2 linked regions of the Oryzias latipes genome follow. The protein of the gene in region 2 interacts with the protein of the main gene of each other region in a biochemical or structural test. Links are inferred from orthologs where the notes say so. Each region holds a gene or a part of one and is shown on either strand. Other genes may lie near its edges.

The links.
Region 1: the proteins of poli (region 2) and polh interact in far-western blotting, tested with the Homo sapiens proteins (2 studies listed by BioGRID). The link is inferred for Oryzias latipes from reciprocal best matches to the Homo sapiens genes POLI and POLH.

What each region holds. Positions count from the first base shown.
Region 1 is NC_019873.2:20,691,717-20,696,549, reverse strand, and holds the start of polh (DNA polymerase eta), read left to right. Parts: upstream 1-1,781; 5' UTR 1,782-1,989; coding exon 1,990-2,126; intron 2,127-2,423; coding exon 2,424-2,558; intron 2,559-2,637; coding exon 2,638-2,879; intron 2,880-3,001; coding exon 3,002-3,180; intron 3,181-3,246; coding exon 3,247-3,350; intron 3,351-3,419; coding exon 3,420-3,539; intron 3,540-3,960; coding exon 3,961-4,084; intron 4,085-4,164; coding exon 4,165-4,230; intron 4,231-4,311; coding exon 4,312-4,484; intron 4,485-4,562; coding exon 4,563-4,833. Other genes in the region: uncharacterized protein LOC105355791, read right to left, coding at 1-287, 484-529. UniProt on the Homo sapiens protein: DNA polymerase specifically involved in the DNA repair by translesion synthesis (TLS). Due to low processivity on both damaged and normal DNA, cooperates with the heterotetrameric (REV3L, REV7, POLD2 and POLD3) POLZ complex for complete bypass of DNA lesions.
Region 2 is NC_019867.2:1,943,393-1,948,202, reverse strand, and holds the start of poli (DNA polymerase iota), read left to right. Parts: upstream 1-1,473; 5' UTR 1,474-1,601; coding exon 1,602-1,686; intron 1,687-1,763; coding exon 1,764-1,883; intron 1,884-2,525; exon of another isoform or gene 2,526-2,571; coding exon 2,572-2,736; intron 2,737-2,851; coding exon 2,852-2,998; intron 2,999-3,140; coding exon 3,141-3,377; intron 3,378-3,453; coding exon 3,454-3,632; intron 3,633-4,286; coding exon 4,287-4,378; intron 4,379-4,467; coding exon 4,468-4,601; intron 4,602-4,810. UniProt on the Homo sapiens protein: Error-prone DNA polymerase specifically involved in DNA repair. Plays an important role in translesion synthesis, where the normal high-fidelity DNA polymerases cannot proceed and DNA synthesis stalls. Favors Hoogsteen base-pairing in the active site.

The DNA.
Region 1 (4,833 bases), on a different chromosome or scaffold from region 2:
CCCGCCATCGATTTCCACAACACACCAGTAATCAGAGTCTGTACTTTCAACATGGTTAATGTTCAATGTGAACGTTTTCTGTTCTTTGTCATCTTGAACTGAAAACTTTCCAGATGTGTCAGGTTTGTTGGTTTTAACTACATCTGAGCAAGTGGCCCAATAAAATCCTTTACACAAATATTTCACATGTTTTTCATATTTTGACTCATAGAGACAAGGGATAGAGATGGATTCTCCGGGCTTCACTGATGTTTCTTTGACTGTAGTTATGCTACAATAGCAAACTCCTGCAAAAATAAAAATAAAAAATGTATTCAGAGGGGAACCATTAGCTATTCCACAATTTGATTCAAACCAAAGACTTTTTTACATTAAGTCAAGACAAATAAGTACTTTAAATAATTTAAAATAATGTGAGAAGCACAGATAGTGTAAGCCATGTTAATTACAAAAATAAAAGTAAATGTTAACGATTCTTCTTACCTGTTAGACCAACAAGTATCAGAAAACAATTGGAAAGAAAGATCATTTTACGCTGTGTCCAAATTCCCACTCTAAACCCTAACCATTTAAAAACGATATGAGTAGTGAAGGACTTCAGACAGAGTCACTGATGGTTAGAGACACGCAACAAAAACTGATGCAATGGATCTGTCCTTTAACTGAATTTCTACTTCCCCTTTTTTAAGCCAATAACTACATCTCTAAGCTGTTTCCAGCAATTATTTAAACAATGACAAATAAGATAAAGAGTGCCTGGCAATGGGAAAATGTTCTGCAGAACCGTTTAGATGTAAACCCACTTTTATTCAGGGTGATGTTCACTGTTGCTTTTTTGTTTATTATTGTTGAAGTTTATTTCCTAACGAATATTTCCGTAGTATTTTTCAGCAAGTACTAAGTTTTAAAACAAAAAAGTTTCTTTAATTTTGAAAACATTCTCTGACAGATCTCAAGTATGATTTACTTTTGCAGAAAAGAATTTTAGAAATTGCCAGTGAAGAACAACAACAAACAAAAAATTAAGAAAAACCTTGTCAAATAAGATTAATATGATTTTGTTTTCTACAATAGTGTGGCAATGATAAAGAGACACGTCTTGTCTTTTGAAGGTGAAGCTTTAGTTTAAAAAAGGCAAATCTAACAGACTGCAGCTGTTAAAATCAGTTAGATTATTATCTAAAATGTGAAGAAATGTTCTCATTTAAACTCATGTTAAAACCTTTGTCGTAATCATCCCAACACAGACATTTCAACTGAAATATTTATGCTGACTAATTGACTCAATTGAAAAAGTATTTTTTTTTAACAAAACAATGCTTTTTGGAAAATGAAATGCATTTAGAAATGCATCCTTCCTAACCATACATTTTTGAAAGTACCTAAATGTACCCTGCTGTCTTAACTTTTGTGTTTATTCTAACAAAGTCTCAGTAATAAAAAATAAAAAGAAATCCCCTTTTACCCCAAAATATTAATTATTATTTAAAAAAAATACCGGGATAAGCCCGCGTGCATGAGAAACAAGCTGGTTTGTTTCTTAAATCTTTCTTCTTTTTTGGGAGTTTGGTTCATAGATAGATTTATAATAAAAAACTTAAGATTCTTTAAAAAACAACATTGATTTGGGACAACAAGAATTTTGTGGAAAAATATTATGGTCAATCGTTCCCGCATTATTTTTCTTTTATTGATAAAAGTAAAACATGTTATTATTATCATTATTATTTCTTGTTTATATTTTCAATAAAGTTAAAATAAAAAAAACGATCGTCGCCTGTTGATGACGTTTTTCCAGAGGCAAATTTGTCTGCCCGAAATATAAAGCTATAAAGCCGAATGTTTCCTGTACAGATCGGGTAGCGACAGCGACAGTCAACTTTAACTAAACAGGTTATGGTTAAAGTTCAAACCCGACCATGAACTAGTCACACACATTCAGTGGACGCATGCGTATTTAGTCGAAAAGGCTACTTGTCTTCGATTATCATGGAGTACGGAAAGGAGAGGGTGGTGGCTTTGGTGGACATGGACTGCTTCTACGTCCAGGTGGAGCAGAGGCTGAATCCAGCTCTGCGGAACACCCCCTGTGTGGTGGCGCAGTACAAAACCTGGAAGGGTGGCGGGTGAGTTCCTGACAGACTACTGAGTTTGGAACCATCAGCATAGATCACAGACGCGGTCTTTCGTGCAGCATCTCTTGCATTCAGCCGTGAAAACAGGAAGTTAGTTACGTCTGCCTCTATTTAGTCCAGGCTGCTCATTTAAATCTGGTCTACTTAGGCGGGAAATGTGTGTGGCATTTACTGATATTACTACCACAAGTAGTAATAATGAATGTTTATTCAAAATACAAAACGTCTCTTACTCTGCTGCCAGACTTTAACGGTTGCTGGCTTTTTTTATTTTTATTATTATATCAGTATTATAGCTGTCAGCTATGAAGCCAGAGCCCACGGTGTAACCAGGAACATGTGGGTGGATGATGCAAAAAAGCTGTGCCCGGATCTGCAGGTGGCTCGAGTCCGTGAGTCTCACGGCAAAGCCGACCTAACCCAGTAAGTCGGAGTCCTTGAGGGTAACCCACCTCCTGTCTGATGAGCGAAGGCTACGTGTACGAGCGCCCTCCGTTTGCAGTTACAGGGATGCCAGCGTGGAGGTGATCGAGGTGATGTCTCGCTTTGCCGTGATCGAGCGAGCCAGCATCGATGAGGCCTACATGGACTTGACGGCTGCCGTCCAGCAGCGGCTGAAGACCACGACTGAGGAACAAATGAGCCCTTGCCTCCTGAAGACCACTTACATTCAGGGGTATCCTCAAAGTGGACTGGATCCTCCCTCCGCAGATGCATCTCCAGAAGAGATGATTTTATATAAAGGTAACTTCTGACCTAACTTTAGGATGTATTATTCCATTTCTTAAGATTGTTGGTTGTTTTTCTTTTTAGACCAGAGGTAATGAAGGGGTTCGATTGTATTTACTCATCATTTTTCCCTGCAGAGGAGCTGAGATCCAAAGGTCTTCAGCAGTGGATGGAATCCTTACCTACGCCCTCATCAGGGGAGCTGAATTGTGCAGAACTGCAGCTGACCATGGGAGCGCTCATTGTTGAGGAGATGAGGGCTGCAGTGGAGAAACAAACGGGTTTCCGTTGCTCCGCAGGAATATCTCACAACAAGGTAGAGCCAAATCTTTTTTTCTGCAAAATCAGTAGCAACAGTTTAAGGTTAGCTTTCTTTTTTCAGGTCCTGGCTAAGCTCGCCTGCGGTCTGAACAAACCCAACAGACAAACCGTCTTGCCTTTGGAATCTGTGACGGAGCTTTTCAACTCTTTGCCCATTGGCAAGATGTGAGTCTAAAGCTTCACTCCAATAAAAGCACAATAAAAGCAAATGGTGACGCTGCTCTTCTTGTTCAGTCGGAACCTGGGGGGTAAGATGGGGGCTTCGATAATTGAAACTCTGAAAGTGGAGAACATGGGAGATCTCACTCGCTTCTCTCAGTCCCAACTGGTGCAGCACTTTGGAGAAAAAACAGGGTAAGAAAGCCACTGTTGTGATATGTCTGACCAAGATCACTTTTTTTTTTTTTAGATATATGCCCCCCCCCCCCCCCCTCTTTTTATTGTATTTGCATCTCTCTGTTTGCAGCCGGTTAAGTGACGAGTAAGAACAATAATCTGCAATTTTGAAATGTTAGATGCTTTGTCTTTATGGATACAGTTGTTTTTTAATTCAAATGATTAGACCTTCAGAGTTGAAAGACTAATGGAGCAAAACAAATGACATGTCCTAAAATCCAAAAACTAAACCATAAGCACAAAAACTAAATGACAAGAAAATGACACAAGTTCAGATATAATAGATACATATGGCTGTCATTCATAGTCAAAAACAAAAGAAAAGGTGACTAAAATCTATGAAATGGGTCAATCACACCTTCTGGATCTCTGTTTGCAGCCAGTGGCTTTATGACTTGTGCCGAGGGGTCGAGTCTGAAGCTGTTAAGCCCAGGCAGCTTCCCAAGTCTATTGGCTGCAGTAAAAACTTCCCTGGAAAGACGTCTCTAGCCACTAAAGAACAGGTAGAGCCGCATTTATTGCATGTTCCATCTCGTTGTCTGAAATTTGTCCCCTTCAATGCAACAATGAATGATCTGTGTAGGTACAGTACTGGCTTCATCAGCTGGCCCTGGAACTGGAAGAAAGGCTGAACAAAGACAAAGAAACGGTGAGCCTTTAGTTTTGTTTAGTGTATTTCTGATGACGTTCTAGTTGTGAAAGCTTATTATTTTTGTTCCTTTGCTCATAGAATGGTCGAGTGGCTAAGTTGTTGACGGTTGGTGTGCGTCAGCTTGGTGATAAGAGGCCCAGCAGCTTCTCTCGATGCTGCGCTTTGGTGCACTATGAGGCAGCCAAACTATCTAGTGACAGCTTTGCCATTATCAAGAGCCTCAACACAGCAGGAAACCACCAGGCTGCATGGTAATTTGGGGGGAGCAATGCAGTGGGACAATAAAACTGCAGGTTGATTTATTTAATAAGTGTGTCTTGTGTCTCCAGGACTCCACCGCTCACCTTGCTGCACCTCTCTGCTAGCAAGTTCAGCGACGCGCCGTCGTCCGGGGGGATTGCCGGCTTTCTCTCAGCCGGCGTCGCTCCAGGCCGGAGCGTTTCCGCCACCTCTAAAGTCTCAACTCCGCAGGCCTCTGAGCTGAAACAAGACTCTGCATGTAAACAGCGCGGGAGCATTCAGGCCTTCTTTCAAAAGGCACCAGTGAAACAGAAAGGGGTTAGGATGGATGTAGAGGAGGAAATTCCTCCACTTTCTGGT
Region 2 (4,810 bases):
ACGACTGAGTTTTAGGGCCAGTTTACAAAAAAAAAAAAAAAAAAAAAAACTTTAAAGTCGTGATTAAAACAAGAGGAAATATTACCATGAATATTCCTAAATTTGTTAGAAAAAAGTAATCCGCAAATTTAGGATAAAAAAGTAGGACTTTAAATCTCGTAATACTACTTTTGTTTTGGGTGGCCCTAAAACTCCATCATAATTATGAAATCATATTGCATTCATTTGAAAAAGAGAATCTGAGGTTTTTCGGGATACTTTTGTTTGCGTTTTTTTTCCCCAGTGGATCGTAAGATAATTTTTTTTTTTAAAGTGTATTGCATTCAATTGTAAATGAAAAAAGATCATTCAAATCTTTTCCACATTTTCATTCGAACATGTTTAAGAACTACAAACAGGCTGGGCTCTAACCTCATCTGCTCATGGAAATTATAAGATGAGCAGAAAATGTGTTCTTCTTTTCTTTTATAATATGTTTTAGATTTTTTTTTAATACATGAAACGTTTTTTGTGTTTGTTTGCTTGTTTTAATTAAATGCAAAATGTTTCCATACTTTCATACTATGGAAGCACTTGTGTCTCATAATTAAAAATGAAAGTCAGTACCAGAAATGCCTTTTCATTTTCACAACAAAGCTGCGTTTGTTGACTTTGTTTGACAATTCAAGAAGAAAAAGAAAAAGCAGTTTGGCAGATTGATTTTTCATTTTATTTTTGAGTTGACAAACGCAGCTTCATTGTGAAAAGGAAAAACTGTTAATCTGTTAATCCATTTTAATTGTCAAATTAGATATTTCTAGTTGAATGTTGATACACATTTACTAGAGAACTTTTTGAAAATGAAATGTCAAACACCATTCTCTTTATCCTTTTATTAAAGGTGACAGATTAAACTTTGTTGAAGAAACGAAAATGCCGTTTGGCAGATTGATTTTTCATTTTCTTTTAAATAGATAGATATAGATAGATAGATAGATAGATAGATAGATAGATAGATAGATAGATAGATAGATAGATAGATAGATAGATAGATAGATAGATAGATAGATAGATAGATAGATAGATAGATAGATAGATAGATAGATAGATAGATAGATAGATAGATAGATAGATAGATAGACAACTTTATTTATCAATGGGGGAGGTTCCCGCATGGAAATTGACATCTCCATCGCATACAGCACTGGTTGACATACGTATATGAAAGAGCAGTACAGTATCCAGAAAAATTAGAACAGTAAAAACAGTAACAGTTTAAATATCTGCAGAACAGCATATACAAAAAAAAGTCATTCAGGCCCTTTCCCTTTCCTTTTCTGTCCCCCTCCCCCTTTAAGTCAACAAATGCAGCTTTATTGTGAAAATGAAAAAGCATTTCTAGTACCGACTTTTATTTTTTAATTATGCTACACAAACGCTTCCATACATGGCTTTCTTAAGGAGGGGGGAAATAGGAAATCCAGGTTCGTCTTCCACACCAGTTGGTGGCGGTAATGAGCTTCTTAGCTGTTTTGGCGCCGCTATTTCAACCACAGAAGAAGAACCCTGGCTGAATCTTTTACACTTCAGATGTTTTTACAAACTTTAGACTCATAAATAAAATGGACAGCAGCGATGAAGAGATGGACGGAGACGATGGCCAGTGGAGGAGCCAGTTCACGGGTCCAGAAGAACCCGCCACTTCCGGTAAACTCTGAAGCTTTAAGCTAGCCCGTGTCGGAGCTCGCGGCTGTCATGAACTTCAGTTGTGTCTCCGTTTTCAGGATGGAGCGTAAATAATCCTCCAGGAGCTCCTCACAGAGTAATTCTCCACTTTGACCTGGACTGTTTCTACGCTCAGGTGGAGATGATCAGAGATCCTTCTCTGAGGGAGGTTCCTTTAGGTAAATTCTCTGTTTTAGGCAATTTTCCACCGTTTTCTTGTTTCTGCTGCAGTTTTCTTTTTTGATTTCAGATTCCCGCCTTTCATGGAGTTTTTTTCTTCTTCATTTTATTCCATTTAGATGACATTTTACCGTTATGACCATTTATGGACATTATATAATTGCACTTCCCCACTAAATAATAAATTTATTTCCATTTGACATTTAATATTTAATGGATTAAGTGTAGTTTTTAATATTTCTGTGTATAATTAAAGGTAATTATAATGACCTCATTAACATGTGGATATATTTATATGGAGATTAATGTAGGCTACATGTGTGTCTATAAATATATTTGTGTATATTTCTATACCATCTTTTTCTTTAAAGGTTTTTTCCAGTTGTTTCATAGCAAATAACCCTAAGTTCTAATGTATTTATGTACAGATAAGTATTTATTTAGTTTACTTTTTTCTGTTTTAAATTCCAGATTAACCGCACTAGAGCAATCTGGAATAAACTGGATTAAAGCAAAAACACAGGAACAAAACTTTGTTAAACATAAATGTATAAACTTAATTTAAAGGACGAACAATACATTGTAACAGATAGGAAATCTCAGAGCAAAACTCAGTATCCAGGTGTGACTTAGTTATATACCTCTTAGAATTTAAAGTTGCTCAAACGATGACGTCTGTGTCCTCAGGCATCCAGCAGAAGTACATCATCGTCACCTGTAATTACGTGGCGAGGGAGCGCGGCGTCACCAAGCTGATGTCTGTAACCGATGCCAAAGAAAAATGTCCAGAGCTGGTTCTGGTCCGAGGAGAAGACCTGACGCTCTACAGAGAGGCTTCCCATCAAGTGACAGGCAGGAATCTGGAGCCGTTCTTAGGCTAATTAAAAACAGATCTACAGGATCAGATTGTGGAGAAGAGCGATCCTGAGACTCTGATTGACTTTACCTGCCGTTTTCCTCCTCTCAGAGCTGCTGTCGTCTTTCTGTCCTTTGGTGGAGAGACTTGGCTTTGACGAAAACTTCATGGACGTCACAGAGATGGTGGAAAGGCGGATGAAGGAGACGCCGCCGCCTGAAGGATATTCGTTTTCTGGACACGTCTACAACCCTTCCAGTGAGTTGGACTCGCATCGCTGCTGCAAACCGTCGCTGTCAGGAAACTGAGAGGAACTTGCAAATCAGGATATTTGCATGAGAATCTCGGTTTCTTTCCTGCAAGCGGTCCGTTTTTTGCAGAACGCCATGCCTCTGTGCAGACGCAGAGATCAGCGGCAGCGACCACCCGCGGCTGGCTTTGGGCTCCTACATCGCGGCCGAGCTGAGGGACGCGGTCCACAGCAGACTGGGCCTGACGGGCTGCGCCGGCGTCGCCACCAACAAGCTGCTGGCCAAGCTGGTTTCAGGCACCTTCAAGCCCAACCAGCAGACGGTCCTGCTGCCGGAGGACGTCGGCCACATCATGGAGTCACTGGGCGGAGTTCGGAAAGTTCCAGGTACGGAAAGATGGCCTCCTAAAAAGCAAACCTGTGGCGTGTTTGAGAAACTGTTCAACCTGGACGCTGCCCTCAGGTGTGGGGCATCAAACGGCTAAAAAACTCCACCAGCTGGGCGTGGTTAGCGTGAAGGACCTGCAGCTCCTCCCACTGCCTGACTTGGTGAAGGAGTTCGGAGGCGCTGTTGCTCGGCGCCTGAGGAATCTCTCCCTGGGTGTTGATGACTCACCTGTCACCCCCAGCGGGGCTCCCCAGGTGAGTCGGGACATTCGCTGAGCTTCTGACAAAAATACAGACTTTGATTAGATCAAAAAAGTAAAATATATACCACACAGTTTTTTTTCTTTTTTAAATGACTTTAATATGATAAAACGAATGATATCTGATTGAACACAGACAAAGGAAATGTGTCAGTTCTGGTTGTTTTTGATCTCAGTGCGGCATTTGTCCATTGGTAATTTCACATCTGAGCTAGCAGAAATTATATGTGGAGTTCCCCAAGGCTCCATCCTGGGGCCACTTTTTCTATTTAGCATTAACATCAGGGCTAATATATATATGTACATATAGTTTATATTTATACTTTTTCTAAAGTTTTTATTTGAATAATCACCCCTTTAATATTCTTGTTAAATATTTCTTTAAATTTTTTTGCCTGGAATTATTTTTGATCCCAAAATCACCCGAGTTAACGACATCATTTTTACTTTTCTTACAAAATAAAAGTCTTGTTTCTGTGATTCTGATACTTAAAGAGTTTCATTGTTGATTGAGGAGCAAACAAATAGATTTATTGACACTGTTTTCTATTACATTATTTTCTATATGATTTTATTTTATTGAGGTTCAAAGGAGTGAATGAAGAACTGAAGCTTCATCTAAAAACTCCTGTCGTGTTTTGTGCTTCAGTCTCTCAGCGATGAAGATTCCTTCAAGAAGATGAGCTCCGAGGCCGAAGTGGTGGAGAAGATCCAGCAGCTCCTCAGCCGTCTGGTGGAAAGGTCAAAGCAGCTCCAGCTGCCCTCACCGCCCACCATGTGCCAGCGCTTTGCTCCTCCTAACATTTCGGTCTTTTATTTTGGCGAAAAAGGATGCAGAAGGACGGCAGGCAGCCTCAAACCTTCCGGCTCACCATCCGCAGATACACGCCAACCAACAAGTGGTTCAGCCGGGAGAGCCGGCAGTGCCCCATCCCGAGTCACCTGGGGCAGAAGATCCTCTCTGGTGGGCCGGCTCTTCAGAAAGATTCTGTGATAAATGTTGTGCTTTTATTCTGAAACCCTTTGAAGGCGAAACATCAATCTTCACTAGAAAATTGGAAGTGTGATCTGAAAAAGTTTTTGGAATTTCCCTCAAAGATACAAAACAAAGAGATCCTTGAATCGCCCAAATCTATAAATGAGTTCTTCGGATGAGTATTTTCAAAATAAAAG